Linked DNA regions of Lonchura striata. The protein of the gene in region 3 binds, or shares a complex with, the protein of the main gene of each other region. Links are inferred from orthologs where the notes say so. Each region holds a gene or a part of one and is shown on either strand. Other genes may lie near its edges.

Region 1 (7,703 bases), on a different chromosome or scaffold from region 3:
GTGTTTTTCTTTGTGGTGGTGGTGGTGTTCAGGTGAGGAGAGAGTTGGCTGCTGCTTTCCACAGTGGGTCTGGTGTATTCCTCTTGTTCTTGTGGAGCTGCCCAGGGCCCCAAAAACCCCAAGAGAGAATGTGTCCTGTGAGGTGCAGGCTGTAACCGAGCAGGGCTGGCACTCAGAGCTTGTCCCTGTGCTCCACCCAAACCCTGCGGGCGAGGCAGCATCTGAGCATTGAGAGAGAGCAGTTTCAAATCAGGTAAAAACTTCTGGGACAAATTCAACTGACAAGGCGTTTAAAAGCCGCCCCACTTATTTTGCTACCTGGGAATCCTGGGCAACACACAACTTTATAGCTTTTTCTTTTTGTCTGAAAACCAGACTATGATTTTGGTCTCGCATTTCAAAGTAGACTTTGAATCTTTAGTGAGTTCCATACCCTTGCATTTCAGTGTTTCCTATGTATTATTTTAAGTTAAAGCTTTGAAATAGTTGAGCTTTTTAATGTTGACACTTTATTTTGTAACTATTTATATGTATGTATATCTTAGAAAAGCACTTTGTTTAAAAAAAAAAAAGAGGAAAAAGAAAAAAAAAAAAAGAAACTGCGTTTTATATGATTCCTGCCACTTGCTGCTAACTCTGGGCTGGTCAGAATGCTGCAGCGATACTTGAGATAAATAAAACCTGGCAGTAAAATGTAGAGTAAAGATAAGACCTTTTGCTGGTTTAACTTTATCATAAAGGTGACATAGGCAAGCTGTGCAGCTTTACATTTTAACCAGGGGACTCTGTGGCATTTAAACCGTCTAGAAATGGTTGTACTTTAATGCCAGTAACAATCTGCTTCCTCTAGTGTCATTAAAATATATACATTTAGTGTATACTTATCACAAACAAAAATCTTATAAGGGTATAAAAACCAACATATGTACATGTTCTGTTTTTTGGCAATTGTGGCATGCGTTTTGGGGTGATCTTTAGAGAAGACCATTTTCTAAAGATTTTCAGTGTTCATACATAGTATGTGGATCTTAACGAAATCCTGGGTTTTTTGTTTTGTTTGTTTTTGAGTGTAGGCATTGTGAATATTCACTTTTAATCCTATCTCCAAAAACAATGATCTATTTTTTGATTTAATACAACCAGAAAGCTCTTCCTTTTTCTGATACACTGGATTCTCTAGGATTTGTTTCCATATTAAAAGCATGCTGTCATAACTGCTCTTGTCGAGATCTCGTCAGTCTGAACGTAGGTGCCACACTTGGAATCGATGGGCTGCTTGTTCTGCTGTACCATGTATGACCCTCGTCCTTCCCCTCCCTTCATGACAGATGATGATGTGGCTTTATATTGTGCCTTACTTGTACATCTAGAAACTAAGTGTTTTTCATTCCCTCTGAACTCGTCAAAGCTTCTGAGGTGGAGTCAGAGCTGATTGAAGCGTGCTGGAGCGAGTGCAGACAGGGCTGATTTCAGTTTCTCTCTCTAGTCCTTTTGTATTTCTATGGAAGACCAGTTTTTGAATGGCCTTGCAAAACGTGGGGGTGCTCCTGAAGGGTGTTTTTAAACCCAAAACCCCTTTTGCTAACGCTTACTTTTATGGTTTATTGAACACATTTACTGATATTTGGTGAGTGCTTTATGTTTTTTGGGATGAGAGAGACTTACTACTAAAGCTGTGTTTACGTGTGGATGGGCTGGATTTTCTTATCATACCAGTTGAAATCATTGTGATTTAATAAAGTTGTATTGCTGTAAAGCTGATGTGAGAGTCAGGCTCAGCTGTGTTCAGTTCCTAATTTATAGGTTGACTTTTTTCCGTACTAAGAGGGCCAGGGAAAAGTTGGGGTTTTTAAAAAAAAGCAAACAAACAACAAACCAACCTAAAATGGTTGAAAGGTCTTTTAACTAACCTAAAAGCAAACAGACACTTTGGAAATGTAGAGGTGTCAGTTTAAAATTTATTTTTAAAAGACACCCCCCAATATTTATCTAATATTTATCTTGCCTTCATTAATGAAACAGCTTATTCACAGCTATAATGACTGGATGTGCTTTTCCATAAATCATTTAAACATAGCAATTTTTTTTTATTATTATTTTAAAGAAGCTCTGAAGGGTTTTATTGGGAGAATTTCCAAGGGTTGTATCCAAGCTGCCTCCAGCAGAAATAGCAAATGCAGTCCTGTTCCTCAAACGTGCTTGCTCGTCTTCCTGAAATTCTGCTGAGGCACAAGCCAGTTCTGGACCGTGAATGTCAGGATCTGTATTTGGCCTTGAGACCCGAGTTTCAAGAGTGCATCTAAGCATGATTTGGTTTTCCTTTGAAGTTGGAATCACCTAGTGGAGTGTGCTGCTAGATGTGGTCTTGGCTTGTTGACACAGCCTTGCACACAGCTGAGGTTTATTTTGTTTACCCCAGGGATGGTGTGAAGTACATTTCAAACAGTTGCTGCCTCAGTGACTGATCCTTCTTGTAACTGTATTAAGGGCATTAGTCTGTTGAGAAAACGCCACTCTTGAATATCTCCCAATGTAAATTGGGATTTCTTCGATGTCATTAATCAAAGATGGCACTTTCAGGCTGTATCTTCTTTGCAGCAAACAAAAATCTCTGTCTTTCTACAACTTGCATTTCACAATATGCCATGTTTTCCCTCCAGTGCTTCGAGAAGGTGTCTTTGCACTCTGGATATAATCCTCAGCCTCTTAGACATCCATGAACTTCCATGGGAGCAAATACTGACTCTGAATTTATTGTTTTTTACCAAGCTGTGGAGCTAAAAGTGGAACCAGAGCTCTTTGAAGCCACACTTGCATTTTTTTGTTTCCCCCATTAAAAAAAAAAACAAAATTTCAAGCTTTTTAGATAATGTCACAATTCAGAGTTTTTCTAGAGTTTAAAGTAATTTTTAGTTGAGTATATTTAAAGTCAAATTGGGTGACTTAACTACTACTGTAGGGAAAACTTACAGATTAGATTTGATATTGGAAAAAGCACATCCCACCCTATCAAAATCTGATTAGGAAACAGAACCTAGTAAGAAAACTTAATTTTAATTTCTCTTGTAATGATGGATATTCATGCATTCTGATTGGAATCATCTATCTTCCCAGAATATTATATATCCAAGGAAAACTTGCTCAGTATTTGTAGTTGGGTGAACTCTTAAGGCTGATGGCACATGAAGATGCAAAAAAAAAAAAAGCATTTTAAACAAAACATGGCATCCTGTTCTGCCTTTGCTTGGGGTCATGATTGTAATGCTGTCCTTGATATTCTATAATCAACTTCCAACTGGAGCTCAGTAAAACATACTGAAAGTCTTGTCTCTGTTAGAAAATAAATTTACCTTGTTCAAAGCATGATCTGTTAAGAGTTGCAATGTTAAATGTTGGTTAATAGTTGTGCAGTTTTATTTTTTTGAAAAGAGGCACAATTAAACTATTGACTTTGTTTACTCTGTCACCCTTGATCCCTAGCACTTCTATTCAGATACAAATTCATCAATGTATGCAACATCCTTTGTAATTTAAAATAAAAATTGTGGAGGAAATACTGTCCGGAATCATTGTGTGTGTGGAATGATAGGGAGTGGCTTCTGCTGCCTTGAACTTAGTGCTAGGTGTGGTGTTTCCAGGAAGTTTCCTTTGGAATGGGTGACAGGTGGGTAAGGGAATGTCTGGTTTGTGCTTCCTCATGCTCAGAGCTGCCTGGCAGCGCTGCTGGCTCGCTGGGGACATGTGGAGAGCCCGGGTTAGTGCCTGGGGAAGCTGCTGCTGCAGTCCCGTGGGTCTGGGGGCAGCAGGGAAGGACTCGGCGCCGGGAAAAGCGAAGGGCATTGCTGTGGTGAGAACATTTCTGTGAAAAATCCTGAGAGGGAGAGAAACGTGCTCACCATTGCCCTGCTTCTCACTCTGGGCTGCAGAGCTCGTGTTCCCCACCCTGCTCCTGACCAGTCAGCCTGGCCTGGAACCCGAGGAGGCTCTTGGGTGTAAACCTGGAACTTTTCCATGGGAATCTTCTGGTTCTGCACAGCTCCTGACAGGAGGGGACAGCCAGGGGGACATCCAGGATGAGAGGGAACAGCCTCAGGCTGGGTGAGGATGGGCTCAGGGTGGGCACAGCAGGAATTTCCCCATGGAAAGGGAGCTCAGGCACTGGAACTGCCCAGGGAGGTTTGGATCCCATCCCTGGGGTGTCCCAGGAAGGGCTGGAGGTGGCAGTGGGTGCTCTGGGCTGGGGACAGGGTGGGGATCACAGTTTGGATTCAATGGGTTTCAGAGGTGTTTTATAACCTCGGTGATCCTGGAATTCTGCTGTTCATCCATCCCCACGGCGCAGCAGCACATTCCCAGCCATGGGATGGGATGGGATGGGATGGGATGGGATGGGATGGGATGGGATGGGATGGGATGGGATGGGATGGGATGGGATGGGATGGGATGGGATGGGATGGGATCGGGTCGGATCGGATGGGATCGGATCGGGTCTGTTCGGGTCGGATGGGATCGGATGGGATCGGATGGGATCGGGTCGGATCGGATGGGATCGGATGGGGTCGGATGGGATCGGATGGGATCGGATGGGATCGGATCCCTTCGGCCCGGCCCGCCACGTCCCTCTTTGCGCGCGTCCCGCCCGCCGCCCGCAGGGGGCGCCCGGCCCCGCCCGGCCCGGCCAAGATGGCGGCGGCGGCCGCGGCGGTGCCGCTGCGGGTCTGTCACCAGGAGATCGTCAAGTTCGACCTGGAGATCAAAGCGGCCGTGCAGGTACCGCCGCCAGCCCCGGGACACCCCGTGACACCCCGGCACGGCCGCGGGGCGAGCCGGGCCCGCGCTGACCGCGCCGTTGTGTTCCAGGACATCCGGGACTGCCCGGGGCCGCTCAGCGCCCTCACGGAGCTCAACGCCGCCGTGAAGGAGAAGTTCCGACAGCTCCGCGGCCGCATCCAGGTGAGGCCCGGCCGCGGCTGCCGGGGGCTCCGGGCTGGGCCCCCCGGCTGTGGGTGCCTGCCGGGCTCTGGGGATCCCGGCCTTGGGTTTGGGGGTCCCGGCCGAGATCTGGGAGTCGCCGTCCTGGGTTGGGGTTTGTCACATAAACCTGCTCCGGGCTGGGCTGCGCGGCTGGCTGGTGAGGTTCTGGTGTTTGTGCTCGCCGCCGAAGGAGCTGGAGCAGATGGCGAAGGAGCAGGACAAGGAGTCGGAGAAGCAAGCCTTGCTGCGGGAGGTGGAGAGCCACAAGAAGCAAATGCTCAGGTGGGTCTGGCCCCGGAGCTTGGCCGGCTTTGGTGCAGCCTCTGAGTTTGGAAGCACACACACACTGACACGTGTTTTGGCCCAGACCAGGAGCAAAGGGACAGAAAGGGTGTAACTAACTCCCTTCTCCTGCCATGACTTCCTGGCTCTGCTCTGTCCCTTTGAGCTCAAAGAAGGCGGCTTTGGAATCTGTTGTTTGACAGCTGGCAGTTTTCTTCTTCTCTTGGTCCTTAAGTGCTGCACTGAGGAGTGGGAATGTCAGAATAGAATGTTTTTGTTATGTGTAGGAATAGAGAAAGTGAGGGGCTGAGGGAGCTGGGAAGGGGCTCAGCCTGGAGAAAAGGAGGCTCAGGGGGGACCTTGTGGCTCTGCACAGCTCCTGACAGGAGGGGACAGCCAGGGGGACATCCAGGATGAGAGGGAACAGCCTCAGGCTGGGTCAGGGCAGGCTCAGGGTGGGCACAGCAGGAATTTCCCCATGGAAAGGGAGCTCAGGCACTGGAACTGCTCAGGCAGGTTTGGATCCCATCCCTGGGGTGTCCCAGGAAGGGCTGGAGGTGGCACTGAGTGCTGTGGGCTGGGGCAGGGTGGGGATGGGGCACAGCTGGGACTTGATGATGTTGGAAGTATTTTCCAGCCCGAGTATTTCTTGCATTCTGAGGGCCCTTGCACCACTTACAGTGGTGGCTGCTTTGTGAAAACTGTCTGTGCTTGCAAGGTGTTCCCATCGCATTACAACACTCTGCTTTTGTGATTTCAGCAACCAGGCAGCCTGGAGAAAGGCAAATCTGGCCTGCAAAATTGCTATTGACAACTCTGAGAAAGATCAGCTGCTGCAGGGACGAGACATCTTAAGACAAAGGTATTGGACTGTCCCACTGTACTGTGGGACAAGCAGTGTCTCCTATATTCACTCATTTTAAATGGACATCATATTTTAATTTTTTTTTAATTATATCATGTGTAGGTTTTCTTTTGTGAATGCATTTCCCATTTCTGGAGATTTGGGCTGTTAAGGATAGTGATGAATTCAGGTTCTCTTGGCATTGGCATGTCTAAGCAGAAAAGGGGATAAATTAACCTTCATAGCTTTACATATTGTCTTTTACATTAATTCCAGATAGGTTCTACACAAGAACTGGGTCATTATCCAAGCTGTTTTCACATCCAGAACTGGGTGTGAGTGTGTGCAGGCTGTGTATTGTATTGAATGCAACAGCTGGGATATTCAGGATGATAAAATGGGTTTGTGTTGGTGCTCCCATAAAGGAATTACACAGTCCTGGGTGAGCAAGTGGTGAAGTACAGGCCCTGTGAGATTCTGAGCTGTTGTTTGGGCTCAAGACTTTATTGTTTAGTGAAAATAATCTGAATTTCTCATGCAGTGAAAACCAGTTGTGTCTTTTGTACAATGCAGAGATCTTTAGTGCCAAGTATTGGCCTTATCTCCCTATCAGCAGCATTTTCCCAGAGCACCCAAAAAGATAATTTTACCTCTTCCTGCTTTTCTTTTTTCTCTTTTCAGGAAGACCACAAAGGAAAGTCTGGCAGAGAGTGCAAGCAACATCACAGAGAGTCTGATGGGCATCAGCAGGATGATGTCCCAGCAGGTGCAGCAGAGCGAGGAGACTGTGCAGACCTTAGGTACAGCTGGAATTTGGGCATGGAGGGGGTGATGGAAGCACCTTTGGTCAGCTCTGTCAGCCTGGGGAGAGGAGCAGAGGAGGAGAATGTGCTACAATGGTGATTAAAGGACTGGCCAGCAGAACTCCTCTAACAGCTGGACATAAACAGGAAATATCAGTGTGCTTTGTGTGGAGTTTCTGTTTCATGAGCGTGAGAGGCAAAAGGGGTCAGGATGAGGTTGAGTTTCTTGTAAAAGCAAACTGAGCTCACGCAGTGCCCAGAGTGTGTTCGGTGCTACTCTGTGCCACTGTCCTGGCAGGGATTTGGGGACAGCAGAGGAATCAAAAGCATGGATACAAATCCCTGCGTGGAGGAAGGAGTGTCTGCAGGGCTGCTCCAGCCAGGCTCCAGCTGGGATGGCTGAGACACCGAGATCAAGTGCCTTGAACCTGAGGTCACTTGCTCTGTCAGCAGTGCATCAGGGACTGTGAAACCAAGATTTCACCCAGTTCCTTGGCTTGGACTCCTAAAACAATAAATCAAGGGACCTGTCAGAACTGGTGATTCATGGAGCATTCAGGAGCTGCTGCCTGGGCCTCTTCCTGGCTGTGCTTTTGGGCAGGAGGGAACTGTAAAGACAAGGACAGATAACACAAGTCTGCCCTCCTTGCTTTCTGCCCCATCCGAGGGTGGCAGCTGGGCACAGTTTGTTGCTGCAGGAGTAGCATGTTCCTTCTCCCATTAAAAGGACAGTTTGGCAGGCACTTTTTCACCCTGTTTCTGAATGAACAGCACTTGGAATTCATCAAGGGAAACACTAC
Region 2 (7,789 bases), on a different chromosome or scaffold from region 3:
ATTACAGCCTAATTAAGCCTTCTCTGAGCTCTCCCTGCTAGGCAATATGACTGCAGGGTGACAGTCTTCACTTGAGCTGGCTCACCTCTCAAGGCTGCTCCTCAAGGCAGAGAGCTTTTACCAACAGCAAATCTTTGGATGAGTCCAGCTGAACCTCAGCTCAGACTGCAACTGGACTGCACAGCAGGTTAACTCTCCCCTGGAGCAGAAGCACCTCTCAAGGTTTGAGATTTCTTACCTGAGACTGAGAGCCTTCCTTAAGCAAGGCAGAGAGGCCCTTTGCTTGCAATAAATCCTTGGTAAAGACTGCTGAATTAATATTGAGGAAACATTACTAGTCCATGTAGCTGCTCAGTAATAATTACAGAAACTTGGTATACATATAAATCGTCCAAATCTGAGACTCAAACTGGACATAGGCTCCCTAAGGAGTTTAAAAAGCATGGGGCTCCATGCTGAGCCTCACGATTCATCAGGAGGGTCTTCCTTACACAGTGTGTTTCCAGTCCTGTGTGAATCATTCTAATTTAATTCTAAATCAGTTTTCCTTTGCATGTGTCTTCCACGTAAATAATAGACTGAACCTTGCCATCATACTTTAAGTCACCCTCTTATGACATCAGGTTAAAACCACTTTTGCTAATACCTTTGATGGCGATTCTTGAAGCAGTTTAAATCACTCATCCATGGCACTGGATGAGGAGCATCCCCTGCTCCCTTCTAAACACAGGAGTCATTATGTGCCTTCTGCAAAACAAAGTGCTAGAGGGTCTGAGTGCTAAACCAGCAGCAGTTTCCAGCAGGCTTTTGAGAACACCTGCCTCTTTTGACTTACTCTAATAGTAATTTCCTGGGGAAGACACTACTTCTGTTGTAGTAAATCAGTATTACTTAAGTTTATGAACAGGACTGAATGACACGACTGTGACAGATGTTGTGACTTGCAAGGTACTATCTAATCTTATGCTTGTTCTACGGGCCACCACCATTTAAGGCAGCTGAGTGTGCATTAGCTTTTCTATTGGAGACTGCAGTTGTGGCTGTTTTCAGCTTCCATCCACATACTACAATTGTCTCTGTGGATGCAGCTAGTTTTTGACAAACACCAAAGAACAATGAGATACATTCAACTGTGCCAAGCTACTAAACTCTACCCTGTTGCTGTAGAGACAATCTGTGTTGTAAGTCTACTGGTTCCACAGACAGGAGATATTTTCTTCCTGCAAAGAGCTCTCAGTGACATTTGCCTCAAACCATTCAATTTCTGCATAGACAATTTGCAGCTCTTTCTTCAATCCAGTCTCCCCATCATGGTGCTCAGAAAGCCAAGCAGATAAACACCCCACCTGCCCCCGGGACTTGCCTTGCAGCCGCCTGGCCAGCTCCCGGGTGAAGAGCACGTTTGCCAGTTTGCTGTGACAGTAGGCAAGGCCACGATTGTAGCTCTTCTCACCATGGAGATCATGGAAGCGGATTCGGCCTCCGTGGTGAGCCAGCGAGGACACGTTCACGATGCGGGCTGGGGCAGACTGCTTCAGACGCTCCAGCAAGAGGAAAGTCAAGAGAAAGTGACCTAGGGGGGAGACGAAAGGTCATCCTTCTAGAAAGGGTTCCCCTGCTTGCTTCTACGTGGTACCTTACTGCTGTCCTCATTTCAAGTCCAGGAAAAAGAAAATTTCTGTTAAATTCCCCTGAATTGACATCTACACTTTTTTTGGGGCCTTCAGGTTCTGCTCTTCATCTTCAAAAAGCTGTAGCCATCATACATTTCAAAATGTCCCAGGTAACACATACAGATCCACAATGCACAAACACATCACATTGCATCTCCAGAATTCTGACTCTGACCCTCCATCATCCCAGTAAAAGGAAGAATGAGGAAGAGAAAATCCAAAAGGATTTTCCTTTGGCATTTTGCTATAGATATCGATGTTAGAAGAAGATGATCTTTAAGGGCAATTCCAACCCAAATCACTTGACGATTCTATGGTTCCATATTCAGTGCAAACATGATTCCACTAGCCTTACCAAGATGATTGACTCCCAGATGCATCTCAAAGCCATCAGCAGTCTTGGAGTAAGGGCATAACATTACCCCAGCATTATTAATGAGAATATGGAGTTCCTTCTCCTCTGCAAGAAACAACAAATATCTTTAAACAAGGAAACAGAGAATGCAGACAAGAAGGTAGTACAACTCACCCCTTGTTGTCTGACTTGCAGCCACATCACCTTAAAAAAAGGATATATCTCCTACCACAAACTAGCTCATGGCCTTTGACCAGCCCCTGCTATGAACCACAGTACCCAAGAGGTACAGAGACAAGCAGGACAGGGCTTTGGCAATGGTTAGAAGAACAGACAGCAGTCCTTAGTAAAATACTCCCACTAAAAATAAGAATCTAGAGACTCTACCTGCTAGAAATCTCTCAGCAAACTCCCGGATGGACTTCGTATCAGCCAAGTCCAGTTTTTTCACAATAACTTGCTGGTTCCCTGTCTCAGCTCGGATTTCATTGGCTGCAGCTTCTGCCTTTGCTGTGTCTCTGCAGGCAATAATTACCCTTGCACCTGCAAGGAGGGGAGGGGGGAACAACAGGAACATAAGATGAGATCACTGGAGCACACTGGATGATCAAGGCTATGGCAAGCAGGCTGACCATGCCCAGCAATTACAAACAATATACTGTTTCTTTAGGGAACTAGCATCAGTCAGGGGGATGGCTGGAAGGGACAAAGCTTTCCCCACTCAAGTGTGAGCTACAGTCCTGCTGAAAGATGATTTCAGACTAGGCAAATACACATCTTAAGTGCCTCTGTCCATGTTCTCCCAGGTCAGGAATGCATACAACACTGGTATGATAGCATTGTATCTGCCCCTATAATGGGAACATCAAGCCAGGAGCACATAAAGGTCATGGATTCCAGCCAGAGTAATTTCTAAATGGATTGTGAACAGGTAGTTTAATCTTCTTACTAGTTAGCCAAATAACATTTGCATCAAATTAGCTTGAAACATGAATAACTAAAGCACATAGTGGTGGACCTATGGCATTTCTCAGCTTCCTACAAGCAGAATCCAGGAACTTCCCCAGTCCCCTTCAATCAGTTGCAATGCAACGCATTTTTATGTCCCCAAGGCACATTTTTGGAGTCCAAGCAATGAAAAGTTCCCAGTTAAGGAACTGGAAACCTGCACTTCAGTGGTTACAGCCTCGGAAGGAACAGCACTTGGGCTCATCTGCAGTAACTCTGGAATCCAGTTTACTTCAATATAAGCCTACAACACCTCTTCCTTAGGTCCAGAAAAGGGGCTACTGGCACAAGGTACAGCCACTCCGGCTGCAGAGGCATACGTGCTGACAAGACTGCACTTGCCTCTTTTTGCGAGGTCTCTGGCGGTCTCCTTCCCGATGCCTGTGTTGGCTCCCGTGATTATCACCACCTTCCCCTCCAACCTTGCTGTCGACTTACACCGTCCTCCAGCGACATACCGCCTGCAAGAGGGGAGGCACCAGTCACCTCTGCCTGCTCAGCATGCCCCGTCCGGGGTTGAGCACCCAGAACCTGGGTTCGCATCAATTTTCGGGCTCACCCCAGGGAGCCACGGGCGCCCTCGCCTGAAGCGGCTGGTCACGGCCCTGTCGCGATCGGGACACCGGGAACGCGCCCCACCCCCGATCCCCCGCGCTTTCCCGACGCGGCCCCGCCCCATCCGTGCGTCAAGTGGAGCCACGGCTCCCATTGGCTGCTGCCGCGCGCCTCGAGGCCTTTTGGCCAATGGGCTTCGCCGCAGCGCCCTGAGGAGAACGCGGGCCCCGCCCCCTGCCGCGCCGCCGCGAGCGCGCCGGCGCCCGGAGGGAGCCCGGGGAAAGCACCGGCGGTGCCAGGGCCGAGCGAGCCCCGGGAAAGCCCCGGCAGCGCGGCTGTGTCGCCGGGGCGCTGGAGCGGGCAGGCCTGAATAACTCCGACCCCAGCGCGGGATTCCCGCTGTTCGCACTCCCGCCGCACTCACACAGACACACACGCAAGAAACGCGAAGCGCGCCAGCTCCGCGCCCCAACGGGCGCCGCCCTGCGGGGCGGAACACACGCGAAGGGCAGGGGCTGCGCTCGGTAAGACGCACCTGATGTAGGGCGCTGCCACGAAAAGAAAGACGGGCACGGAGACGGCGGCGCCCAGCGCGGCTTCCCAGCAGCTGAGCATCCCTGCCGCCAGCTACCCGCGCACCGCCAGCGCACGGCTCCGGCAGCCCGCGCCCCTCCCTTTCGGATCCGCCTCCGCCCCGCCCGCTTGGCCTCGCCCACACCCGTACCGCCACACCTCCGCACGCACCGCGCCCCCGCCGGCCCTGCCCGCAGGTACGCGGGCGGCCCGCTGCTTTTTGCCCCGGAACCACAGTACTCCGACCTGGGTCCCGCGAAACATTCTGAAACGCAGTCCGCAATTAAGGAGCGAGAAATGTCTCCAGGGACAGCGCAGTGGCGGCTGTCGGCAGTGGCGTTTGAAGCACATTTTTACAACCCCACGCCGAGGCTCATGTCATGAACCCTGGCAAGGAGCGTGCACCGATGTGCACGTGGGCAGGCGTCCAGGCCTGGGGGCAGCGCGGCGGCGGCGGGTCACGCCGGTACCGGGGAGCCCCGGGGCCGCACCGGCGCTGCCGGCCCGGGGCGCTCCGTGGCGGCGGCGGACGAGCGCCCCCGCGGGGTGCGGGCACGGCCGCCTCCCCGGGACTACAGCTCCCAGCAGGCAGTGCGCGAGGCGGCCCCGGCGGCGGAAGCGCCTGCCGGGGCAGGGCCGGGGGCGCGGGGCCATGGCGGGCCGCGGGGCCGCGTCCTCGGAGCAGCTGGAGCGGCTGCACGAGATCTTCCGCGGGCTGCACGGAGACCTGCGGGGCGTCCCCGAGCGGCTGCGGGGCAGTGCGGCCGGTGAGGCGGGCAGGGGGAGTGGGCGTTCCTCGAGGCACGGGCGGGGCCGCCGCGGCCGGCTGCGGGGCTGTGGCGGGAGCGTTCGGGTGCTTCTCGTCAGACAGGCGCGTTTGAGCAGCGGGGAGGGCAGCGTCCCGTCAGGACTCTGTGTGGGGGGCTTTGCGGTTCTAGGGGCTGGGGACGTCGCTCCTGGTAGGCGCTCGCTGGGAGGAGGCGGGTGGCGCTGCCCTGTGTCGTTCTCAGCTGCTGCCATGTCCTGGTGGCCTTGCAGGTGTGTGGCTTCGCTCCACTGGAGCTCCTCGGCTCTGGCAAATTTCAACTCCGCTGGCAAGCGCTGCCGTGCTAGGCTCACGGCATCCGTCTCTGAGGAGGAGCCCTTCTTTGGACGCTCTTTCATGCTGTTTCTGTTTGAACTGGAGTATAGCCTGGAGAACAGGAGGCTCAGGGGTGACCCCCTCACTCTCCACACCACTGAAAGGAGGCTGCAGCCGTGGGGCTCGGCCTCTTCTCGCAGGCAACCAGTGACAGGACAAGGGGACACAGACCTGAGCTGCACCAGGAGAGGTTAAAGTTGGACATTAGGAAGAATTTCTTCACAGAAAGCATGATTAGACATTGGAATGAGCTGCCCAGGGAGGTGGTGGAGTTTAAGGAGGTGTTTAAGGAAAGACTGGATGTGGCACTCAGTGCCATGGTCCAGTTGACAGCGTAATGTTAGGTCAGGTTGGACTCAATGACTGCAAAGGTCTTTTCCAGCTAAATTGATTCTATAACAACTGCAGTGCTTTGGGGGTTTGGGGTTCTTGTCCCCCCTTTTTTTAATTTGCTATGTTGGATTCACAATTAAAACCTCATTGGCAGAAATAGAAGCAGTTTTTATTGGCAGAACTTCCCAGAAACGTCTGTAGATTTGTTGGAGAATGTTTGCATTTGAAATGATTGTTTTAAAAGTCTGGTTTATGCAGTATGTACTCAGAAAATATTGAAAACCTATCACTCTAGCCACACTAAGTTGTATTAGAAGCACAACCTGTTTTCACCGGTATTCTTTATAGCACACCACTGGTAACATGCTCTCACAGAGCAGTCCTCTGTAAGGATCTGTGCTTCTGATGCAATCTTGATACTTGGCAGCGTTCTGAGAACCAGAAAGGGAAGCAATGTGACAAGGAGAATTTTGCCAGTGTCACTGAATGCCTCTGATTGAACCCTTCCTATGGGAAATGTAATCTGTGGCTGTTACGAGCTGCTGTAGTTCAGCTCAGGTTTTCTACCCCAGTGATGAGCAAGGACTGTCAGTCACGTTCTCCTGCAGTGTTCATTCTCCCGCAATTGATCAGTTTTGTGTAAAATCATAAGAACACTTTGTTCAGAACATACCAGTCTGCACTAGATAACACAGAGCACGAAGGGCTCTGTTTCTTACCTGACTTTCTGTTTAATGAGTTAAGTTCAGGGTCACAGTCCTTGGCATCAGCATTTTCAGGAAGTTTGGTACAAGAAAGGTGTTGAAACCCACAAATGACAATTTGCAAACCTGACTTAATTTCACTAGTGGTCAACAAGGATAAAAAGCTTAAAAGAAGCAATATGTTTTCTGGTAGAAATCCTTATTTCTCTATAGAAATGAGCATGATCAGTTTCTTGGTGAAGTGAAACCAAGTCTGCTTGACACTGTGGTAGTTATGAGCAGTGAATTCTGAGATGTGGGTTTAAATGGAGTATTTACAGGCAACTATTTTTGTGATACTTGGGATTTTTTTTTCAAGAGATTGCAAATAATTGCACATTGACTTTTTTAGACAAGCTACAGAATTTTAAGACAACTGTTCTATTCTTTACTTTTTTTTTTTTTTTTTCCTGCAAAAATCTTGGCACTATCTTTTAAAGTGTTTCTAAGAGAGTTTAAGATTTAGGAATTTGTCATTCCACTGTCCTGATGTTCGTTCTTTGCTTCTTGTACTTAGGAGGAGGGGAGTATATATTAATTTTTTGAGTTATTTGATCCCAAAATATTCAGAAGGTGATAAAAGAGACCTTGGAATACTCTTTTAAGGCAATTCACATGCTCCAAGAGCAACACAGAACCTATAGTCCTTGGGATGTCTTTGAGGGGCAGAGGTTTGGAAATGCTGTTTCATTCTATATAAACAAGATGACAAATTCCTAATTCTAGAAACACCCTTTTTTTCCCCATCCAAATTGGTAAGAAGGGGAAGCAGCCTGGATAAGTTTAAAATAATGTATTTTCCTCTCCATGAATTCACTTAGCTATACTTTCCAACTGAATCTCTTTCTAAGTGTCTGGAAATAAGTTAGTTTAATGTTGATGAGCATGTGGGTGATGCTGCTGTGGCACAGGCACTGCTGCTGCATTTTAGAGTTCTGTCCTTGTGCTTTGAGTTGTGGTTCAATGCAGAGCGACACCAAGTGAATCTCTCGGTATATTTTGGTGTTTCTGGATACCAGCCAGATACAGCAGAATGTTTTCAAGCCACATTGCTGGATTTCTTGTTAGCCTGTAGACAAAAAGGTCTCAAGCTGCTTGGTTTACCTAAACCATTCCATGATTCTATGCCTTTTGGAAGCTGGCATTTCTTTGGCTGCCAGCTTATAAGTGCAGCATCTTATTATTCTGAATAGGAGAAATAAAGCAAGGAAATGCTGCATTTCCAGATCTCTGATGGGTTTCCATTACTTTGAGACAACAAAGTGGGTTTAAGAGGGCACTGCTTGAATCAGATTAGTGAAATAACCTGAATGAAACAAATTACTGACTTCCAAAGGCTGTTTTTCCAGAGTTCATGTCCATGGTTTCATTTGTAACCCAGCTACACAAACAATGGCATCAGCACAAA
Region 3 (8,065 bases):
TCCCCAGGGTTTTTTCCCCCCCAAATCCCTGGGTTTTTTTCCCCAAAGATCCCTGGGTTTTTCCCCCCAAATCCCCAGGGCTTTTTCCTCCAAATACCTGGGTTTTGTTCCCCCAAATCCCTGGGTTTGTTACTCAACATCCCCTGGCAAAAACCTCTGGTTTCCTCCCCCCAAACCCCATTTCCACCCCCCAAACTCCCATTTTTTCCCCCCCAAACCCCGTTTCCCGGCCCCCACGCCCCGTTTTTCCCGTGCCCAGCTACGAGCAGAGCGAGTGGGGCTGGAAGGAGCGGGAGAAGCGGGAGGAGCTGCGGGACGAGCGCGCCTGGTACCTGCTGGCCCGCGAGCCCGGCCACGGCCCCGTCGCCTTCTCCCATTTCCGCTTCGACGTCGAGTGCGGCGACGAGGTCCTGTACTGGTGAGGGGGCTCGGATTTGGGGTCACTGCCACACCACAGTGGCTGTGGGGCCGTTCCTGGGGTCTCGGGGGGGTTTTGGGGTGTCCTGTACTGGTGAGGGGGGCTCGGCTCTGGGGTCACTGCCACACCACAGTGGCTGTGGGGCTGTTCCTGGGGTCTCAGGGGGTTTTGGGGTGTCTGTTCCTCAGTCTCAGGGGGTTTTGGGGTGTCTGTTCATGGTCTCAGGGGTTTTTGGGGTGTCTGTTCATGGTCTCAGGGGGTTTTGGGGTGTCCGTTCCCAGGTCTCAGTGGGGTTTTGGGGTGTCTGTTCCCCGGTCTCAGGGGGTTTTGGGGTGTCTGTTCCTCAGTCTCAAGGGGTTTTGGGGTGTCTGTTCCCGGGTCTCAGGGGGTTTTGGGGTGTCTATCCCCAGGTTTCAGGGGGTTTTGGGGTGTCTATCCCCAGGTTTCAGGGGGTTTTGGGGTGTCTGTTCCTGGGTCTCAGGGGGGTTTTGGGGTGTCTGTTCCCCGGTCTCAGGGGGGTTTTGGGGTGTCTGTTCCCGGGTCTCAGTGGGGTTTTGGGGTGTCTGTTCCCCGGTCTCAGGGGGGTTTTGGGGTGTCTGTTCCCCGGTCTCAGGGGGGGTTTGGGGTGTCTGTTCCCCGGTCTCAGGGGGGGTTTGGGGTGTCTGTTCCCCAGTCTCAGGGGGTTTTGGGGTGTCTGTTCCCTGGTCTCAGGGGGTTTTTGGGGTGTCTGTTCCCCGGTCTCAGGGGGTTTTTGGGGTGTCCCTCCTGCAGCTATGAGGTGCAGCTGGAGAGCCGGGTGAGGAGGAGGGGGCTGGGCAAGTTCCTGCTGCAGATCCTGCAGCTGGTGGCCAACAGGTCAGAGGGGTCTGGGGGGAAACTGGGGGGGTTTGGGGGGGACTGATGGGGATTTTGGGGGATTCTGGAGGGGTTGTGGGGAATGGAGGGGGTTTGGGGGGGATTTGGGGGGAAGGGAGGGGGTTTTGGGGGAATCTGGGTGTCGGGGGGATTTGGGGGGGATGTGATGGGGTTTGGGGGAGGTTTGGGGGCAGAACCAGGGGGAGTTTGGGTGAAATGGGGCAGTTTGGGGGGGAACTGGGGGTGTTTTGGGGTGAACCCAGGGCAGTTTTGAGAATGCCACTGGGCCGGTTTTTTGGGGTGAAACCGGCGCAGCTTGGAGCCAAAGCAGGGCAGTTTTGGGGGTTCCACGGGGGCAGTTTTGGGGGTTCTACCAGGCTGGTTTTTGGGGTGAAACTGGGGCAATTTTTGGGGTGAAACCAGGGCAGTTTGGAGCCCAACCAGGGAAGCTTTTGGAGTGAAACCGGGGCATTCTTTGGGGTACCATGGGGCTGGTTTTTGGGGTGAAACCAGGGCATTTTGGAGCTGATGCAGGGCAGTTTTTGGGGTTCCCAGTCCGGTTTTTGGGGTTCCCAGTCTGGTTTTGGGGTTCCCTGGGGCGGTTTTGGGGTTCCCTGGGGCGGTTTTGGGGTTCCCAGTCCGGTTCTGGGGTTCCCAGTCCGGTTTTGGGGTGACCCGCGCCCCGTGCCCGCAGCACGCAGATGAAGAAGGTGATGCTGACGGTGTTCAAGCACAACCACGGCGCGCTGCAGTTCTTCCGCGAGGCGCTGCAGTGAGTGCGGGGACACCGGGGACACCGGGGGACACCGGGGGACACCGGGGACACCGGGGGATACCGGGGACACCGGGAACACCGGCACCGGGAGGGGACACGGGGGGACACCGGGGACAGCTGTGACAGCTGTGGCACCCTGTCGTTGCAGTGACCGGGCGCCGCGGGCAGGCGGGGCAGGGGCACAGACAGAGGTGGGTGCTCGGGACCCAAATTCGGGGCTTTCGAAGGCCATTCTGGGGAAAATTTCCCTGTTTTTGGTCATTTTGCTGTCAGTTTGGGATCCCCTTTTGGATCCTTAAAAAACCCATTTTGGGTATTTTAACCCATTTGCAGTTGTTTTTTTCAGCTGTTTGAAACTAATTCTCCAACATTTTTTCCCTTTTCCCTTCTATTTTTTTATACCAAGGCTTTTATCCTTTTCTATATTTATTTTAAGCCTATATTTATAGGTTCTATATTAATTTTTTGGGTTGTTTTGGTCCTTTTCTGGGGGAATTTTAAGCTCATTTTATGTTTTCTTTCCCTAGTTTTAGAGAAATAATTTTAACTCTCTGTTAGTTTTTTAAACACATTTTTGGGGGTTTTGGTCCTTTCCTGAGGATTTTACAAACCCTTTTTTCAAGGTTTTAGTCCCTTTTCCAAGATTTTCCCCCATGCTTCTTTTTCATCTTTTTTAACCCACTTTTCCAAAAGTTTTTCCCCTTTTCCCACCAATTTCCACAACCTTTTTTCTGCTTCCCGTTACCCAAATCTGGCATTTTTAACCCCAAATTTCCAAGGACATTTTACATTTCCCTTTATTCCATTTTTCCATTTTTTGCTTGTTTTCCACCCATTTTCCCAGGCTTTCAACCCCTTTTCCCCAGATGGTTTTTAACCCTTTCTCCTCTGATTTTTGGGGTTTTTTACCCTTTTTTGGGTGCTGCTCCCCCCCCCCAGCCTTTCCCCTCCCATCCCCTCCCACTGCCAGCCTGGGGGGTGATGTGGGGGGGTCAGGGTGACAAGGAGGGGGTCCCGGGGGGTTTCTGGGGGTCAGGGGGCGTTTTGGGGGGTCAGGAAGGATCCTTGGGGCTCAGGGGGGTGGCGGTGACCCCGTGTCCCCCCCGTGTCCCCCCAGGTTCGAGGTGGACGCCACCTCCCCCAGCGTGTCCGGCTGCTGCGGGGACGATTCCTCCTACGAGATCCTGAGCCGCAGCACCAGGTTCGGGGACCCCCACCCCGGGGGGGGCCCCTGCGCCGGCTGCTGCCACTGAGCCCCCCAAAAACAGCCCCGCGCCCGCCCGGCGGGACCCCCGGGGCGGGTGACACAAACGGCCCTTCCCCCCGTGCCGGCGGCGCGGCGCTGGGCGGGGAGGGGGATTTTTGTGCTGGATTCGTATTTTATTTTTATTTTATTTTTATTTTATTCTTTATTTTTATTTTATTTTTTCTTTCTATTTTTTTTTTCCATTTTATTTCTATTTCTATTTTATTTCTATTTCTATTTTATTTCTATTTCTGTTTTATTTTTTCCTTTTTTTTTTTTTTCAGCCGTTTTGTTTGTACGGGATAAATAAATAAATAAATAAATAAACGTCAATTGAGGCTCTTGCGCTGGGGGCGTGGCCGTGCGCGGGAGAGGCGGGGCTATGCTAATGAGCAGCGCAGCAACTCGCGCGGCTACGAATAAATTATGTTAACGAGGGGGCGTGGCCATGGCGGGACGTAGCGGCGCGCGGCGGAAGTGACGTCAGAGCGCGCCGCCGCCGCCATGCTGCCGCCCGCCGCCCTCCTCGCCCGCTCCGTCCTGCGCGCCGCGGCCCGGCCGGGCCCGGCCCCGCGCGGGCTCCGCTCCGGGCCCGCGCTGAGCCCCGTCAGCACCGCGGTGAGCGGGGGGGGGCGGGGTGACCCGGGCGGGGCCGGGCCCCGGTGACCGGCGCGGCTCTAACGGCGCCGTCCCCGCAGGACACCGTGCTGGGCCTGGCCGCCGTGTTCGTGTCCATCTTCGGGCCCGCCGCCTGGGTGCTGGGCCACATCCAGGACTACCGCAAACGCGAGGAGTGAGGCGGGCCCGCCGCACACCGGGACCAGCCGCTGCGGGAGCCCCGCGAGCACCGGGACCAGCGCCGCGACCGGCGGGAGGCGCCGCCGCCGCCCATGGGACCCTCCCCGCTCCCCCCGCCCCAATAAAGGAACCGCGGATTCCGCCTGAGCCTCTGTGTCCGTCCCGCCGTACCGGAACCGGGCCCTGACGTCACCGGGGCGTCACGGGGAACGGCGCCATTGGGGGGGGGGGGGCTCGTTCCTGGGGGCGGGGCCTGTTGCTGGGGCAGATCAATTCCACCAATCAGATCGCGGCACAGCTCGTTGCTGGGGGCGGGGCTTTATGCAAGGGCAGATCAATTCCACCAATCAGATCGCGGCACAGCTCGTTGCTAGGGGCGGGGCCTGTTGCTGGGGCAGATCAATTCCACCAATCAAATCGGGACTCTTTGCTGGGGGCGGGGCCCCGCCCCTCCCGGTGTCCCCGGGCTCGGGGCCGCCATTCCCGCTCCGGTTTGGGGGGCGGGGTCTCATTTGCATACCGTTCCCGCCATTCCCCGCCGGCGGGAGGCGTTGCAGTGGGCGGGCCCCGTTTCAGCGGGCGTGGTTCCCATCCCCGCCCTCACCGGGGCGTGGCCTCTCCCCGTCCCCTCCCGGAAGTACCGGGGAGTTCTGTTCCGGTGCCGGCGGCACTTCCGGCGGAACGGACGTGGCAGTGACGTCAGCGCGGCCGGAGCCTCCCGGTGGCGGCGGCCGAGCCCGCGGTGAGGGGGGAGGGGCGGCACCGGGACCCCTCGGGGGCTCCGGGGCGGCGCCGGTTCGCGGGGGGCTCCCGGCGCGCCCCGTTCCGCCGCCGGTAACCGGTGCCGCCGGTGTCCCAGGGCAGGCGATGAGCCCCGATGCAGGCGCGCCGCCGGCTCGGGCCTAGGCAGCGCGAACCGGGCGCGGCCCCGGCGCCCCCCCGGGCGGCGGCGGCGCCTCCCGCGCCCCCGGAGCCGCCGCCCGCCGACGTCATGTCGTGTCGCGACAGGACCCAGGAGTTCCTCTCCGCCTGCCAATCGCTGCAGGGCCGCCAGGTGACCCCGGCACCCAAACCCCCCGGGAATTACCGGGGGTCTCCCCAAACCCCCCGGGAATTACCGGGGGGTCTCCCCAAACCCCCCGGGAATTACCGGGGGTCTCCCCAAACCCCCACCCCCCCCATCCCGGGGGTCCCCCCTGACCCCCCGTTTTCCCCGGTTCCCCCCCAGGACCGGGGGCTCCCGGCGGGCAGGGCCGGGCCCGGGCCGGGGCGGCCGCGCAGCGAGTTCAGCCTGATGGCAAAGTGAGGAGGGGTCTGGGAACCCGGGAATTCGGGGTTGGGGTCCCCCAGGAATCGGGGCTCGGGATCCCCGGGAATTGGGGTGGCGGTCCCCAGGTACGGCGGGTCAGGATTAGCCCGAATTGGGGTGGGGGTCCCCCGGAATGGGGCCGGGGGTGTCCAGGAATTTGGGGTCAGGGTCTCTGGGAATTGGGGGTTGGGGTCCTCAGGATCTGGGAGTAGGGGTCGCCGAGTGTGGGCGGTCAGGATCAGCAGGAATTGGGGTGGGGGTTCCTGAGAACTGGGGGTTGGAATCTCCAGGAATTGGGGTGGGGGTCTCCAGGAATTGGGGGTTGGAATCCCCAGAAATTGGGGTGGGGGTCCCCGGGTATGGTGGGTCAGGATCAGCAGGAACTGGGGTGGGGGTCTCCAAGAATTTGGGGTCAGGATCTCCGGGAATTGGGGTGGGGGTCCCCAGATGTGGGTGGGGGTCCCGAGGAATTGGGGCGGGGGTCTGCAGACCCCCCCCAATCCCTGCCCCCCCCTCCCCCCAGGCGCATCGGGAAGGACCTGAGCAACACCTTCGCCAAGCTGGAGAAGCTGACCCTGCGTGAGCGGGGGGCTTGGGGGTCCGGGGGGCTTTGGGGGGCTTTGGGGGTGTCCTGGGGGGATTTGGGGGTCTCTGGGGGGCTTTGGGAGGGTCAGGGGGGATTTGGGGGCTCACGGGGGAGTTGGGAGGGCTCAGGGGGGATTTGGGGTGTCAGGGGGGATTTAGGGGGTCTCAGGGGGGATTTGGGGGGGTCTCTGGGGGATTTGGGGGGTCCTGGGGGGATTTGGGGGGTCTCTGGGGGTCTCTGTGACCCCGCTGACCCCCCCGCAGTGGCCAAGCGCAAGTCGCTGTTCGACGACAAATCCGTGGAGATCGAGGAGCTGACCTACATCATCAAACAGGTGCGGGTGGGGGTCGGGGGGTTTTGGGGGGTTTTTGTGGGGGGGTTTTGGGGTGCCCCTGACCCCCGTGCCCCCCAGGACATGGGCAGCCTGAACGCGCAGATCGCGGCGCTGCAGGAGCTGCTGCGGGCGCGGCGCGGCCCCGGCGGGCGGCACCTGCAGAGCCACTCCAGCGGCGTCCTGCTCTCCCTGCAGGTGGGCCGGGGGCTTCGGGGGATTTTGGGGGGATTTTCGGACTCTTGGGGGGGTTTGGGGGATTTTTGGGTGGGTTTTTTAGGGGGTTCCTATGGGTTTTTGGGGGTTTTTTTGGGGGTGGTTTTGGATTTTGGGGTTTTCTTTGGGGGGTTTTTGGGAGGTTTTGGGGTTTTGGGGGGGTTTTTAGGACTTTTGAGGGTTTTAGAGGAGTTTTGGGGTTTTTTTGGGAGGTATGGGGGTTTTGGGTGGGTTTTGGGGGGTTTTTGGGAGTTTTGTTGGGGTTTTTGGGGGGTTTGGGGGGTGTTTTTGGGGGGCCTTTGGGAGTTTTTGGGGAGGTTTTGGGGGTTTTTTGGGGGATTTTTTGGGGCGGCTTTGGAGGGTGTTCGGGGGATTTTTTGGGGGGTTTTGGGAGCTCAGGGGCCCCCCAGTGACCCCCCACCCTCCCTCCCCAGTCCAAACTGGCCTCGATGTCCAACGACTTCAAATCGGTGCTGGAGGTGCGGACAGAGGTGAGCGGGGCTGCTGCAGCTTTTCCTTTCCCTCTTTTTTCCTTTCCCTCTTTTTTCCTTTCCCTCTTTTTTCTTTTTTCTCTTTGCTCGCTCCCTTCCTCTTTTCCCATTTTTACCTTTTTGCTCATTTCTCATTTTTTTTCTTGTTCTTGTTGTTACAATTTTTTATCCTTTTCCCGCTTTTTTCTGCTCCTGATTTTTCCTTTTCCTTCACTTTTCTTTTTTTCACTTTTCTGCTGCTTTCTCACTTTTTCTTCTCTTTCTCCAATTCTGTTCTTCTCCTTATTCCACATTTTCCCAATTTCTCCCCATTTTTCTCTTCTCTCCCCATATTTTCCCCCTTTCTTTGCTCTTTCTCCCCCTCATTTTTCCCCCTATTTCTCCCCATTTTCCCCCCATTTTCTCCACATTTCCCCCCCATTTTCTCTCACCTTTTTCCCCATTTTCCCCTGGTTTTGCCCCAGAACCTGAAGCAGCAGCGCAGCCGTCGGGAACATTTCTCCCGCGCCCCCGTCTCCGCCCTGGCCGCCAACAACCTCGGTGAGCCAGGAATTCCTGGGAATTCCGGGGGGGAAAGGGAATTTTGGGGGGGGTTCTGGGTGGGAAATGGGAATTTTGTGGAATTTTGGGGGAATTACAGGTGATAAAAGGGGAATTCTGTGTGGGAGATGGGAATTTTATGGAATTCAGAGGGAATTTGGGTGATAAAAGCAGAATTCTAGGTGGGAGATGGGGATTTCTATGGAATTCCGGGTGGGAGATGGGGATTTTTTGGAATTCCGACTGGAATTTGGGAGATAAAAGCAGAACTCTGGGTGGGAGATGGGGATATCTATGGAATTCCGGGTGGGAGATGGGGATTTTATGGAATTCAGACTAGAATTTGGGTGATAAAAGTGGAATTCCAGGTGGGAGATGGGGATTTTTTGGAATTCAGACTAGAATTTGGGTGATAAAAGTGGAATTCCGGGTGGGAGATGGGGATTTTATGGAATTCCGGGTGGGAGATGGGGATTTTTTGGAATTCCGACTGGAATTTG

What was found.
Region 1: STX5 (region 3) and BNIP1 share a complex: the UniProt entries of both Homo sapiens proteins name them as parts of the SNARE complex. The link is inferred for Lonchura striata from reciprocal best matches to the Homo sapiens genes STX5 and BNIP1.
Region 2: STX5 (region 3) and VTI1B share a complex: the UniProt entries of both Homo sapiens proteins name them as parts of the SNARE complex. The link is inferred for Lonchura striata from reciprocal best matches to the Homo sapiens genes STX5 and VTI1B.

What each region holds. Positions count from the first base shown.
Region 1 is NC_134617.1:2,453,851-2,461,553, forward strand, and holds the start of BNIP1 (vesicle transport protein SEC20), read left to right. Parts: upstream 1-4,662; 5' UTR 4,663-4,683; coding exon 4,684-4,770; intron 4,771-4,860; coding exon 4,861-4,953; intron 4,954-5,164; coding exon 5,165-5,256; intron 5,257-6,016; coding exon 6,017-6,118; intron 6,119-6,781; coding exon 6,782-6,900; intron 6,901-7,703. UniProt on the Homo sapiens protein: As part of a SNARE complex may be involved in endoplasmic reticulum membranes fusion and be required for the maintenance of endoplasmic reticulum organization. Also plays a role in apoptosis.
Region 2 is NC_134608.1:32,868,612-32,876,400, forward strand, and holds the start of VTI1B (vesicle transport through interaction with t-SNAREs homolog 1B), read left to right. Parts: upstream 1-4,778; 5' UTR 4,779-4,816; coding exon 4,817-4,931; intron 4,932-7,789. Other genes in the region: retinol dehydrogenase 12, read right to left, coding at 1,364-1,573, 2,029-2,133, 2,416-2,571, 3,379-3,497, 4,127-4,206. UniProt on the Homo sapiens protein: V-SNARE that mediates vesicle transport pathways through interactions with t-SNAREs on the target membrane. These interactions are proposed to mediate aspects of the specificity of vesicle trafficking and to promote fusion of the lipid bilayers.
Region 3 is NC_134638.1:358,666-366,730, forward strand, and holds the start of STX5 (syntaxin-5), read left to right. Parts: upstream 1-5,025; 5' UTR 5,026-5,083; coding exon 5,084-5,146; intron 5,147-5,320; coding exon 5,321-5,394; intron 5,395-5,924; coding exon 5,925-5,980; intron 5,981-6,250; coding exon 6,251-6,321; intron 6,322-6,399; coding exon 6,400-6,516; intron 6,517-6,968; coding exon 6,969-7,025; intron 7,026-7,489; coding exon 7,490-7,565; intron 7,566-8,065. Other genes in the region: NAA40 (N-alpha-acetyltransferase 40), read left to right, coding at 260-418, 1,190-1,273, 1,968-2,045, 2,197-2,239, 3,166-3,249, 3,579-3,608. UniProt on the Homo sapiens protein: Mediates endoplasmic reticulum to Golgi transport.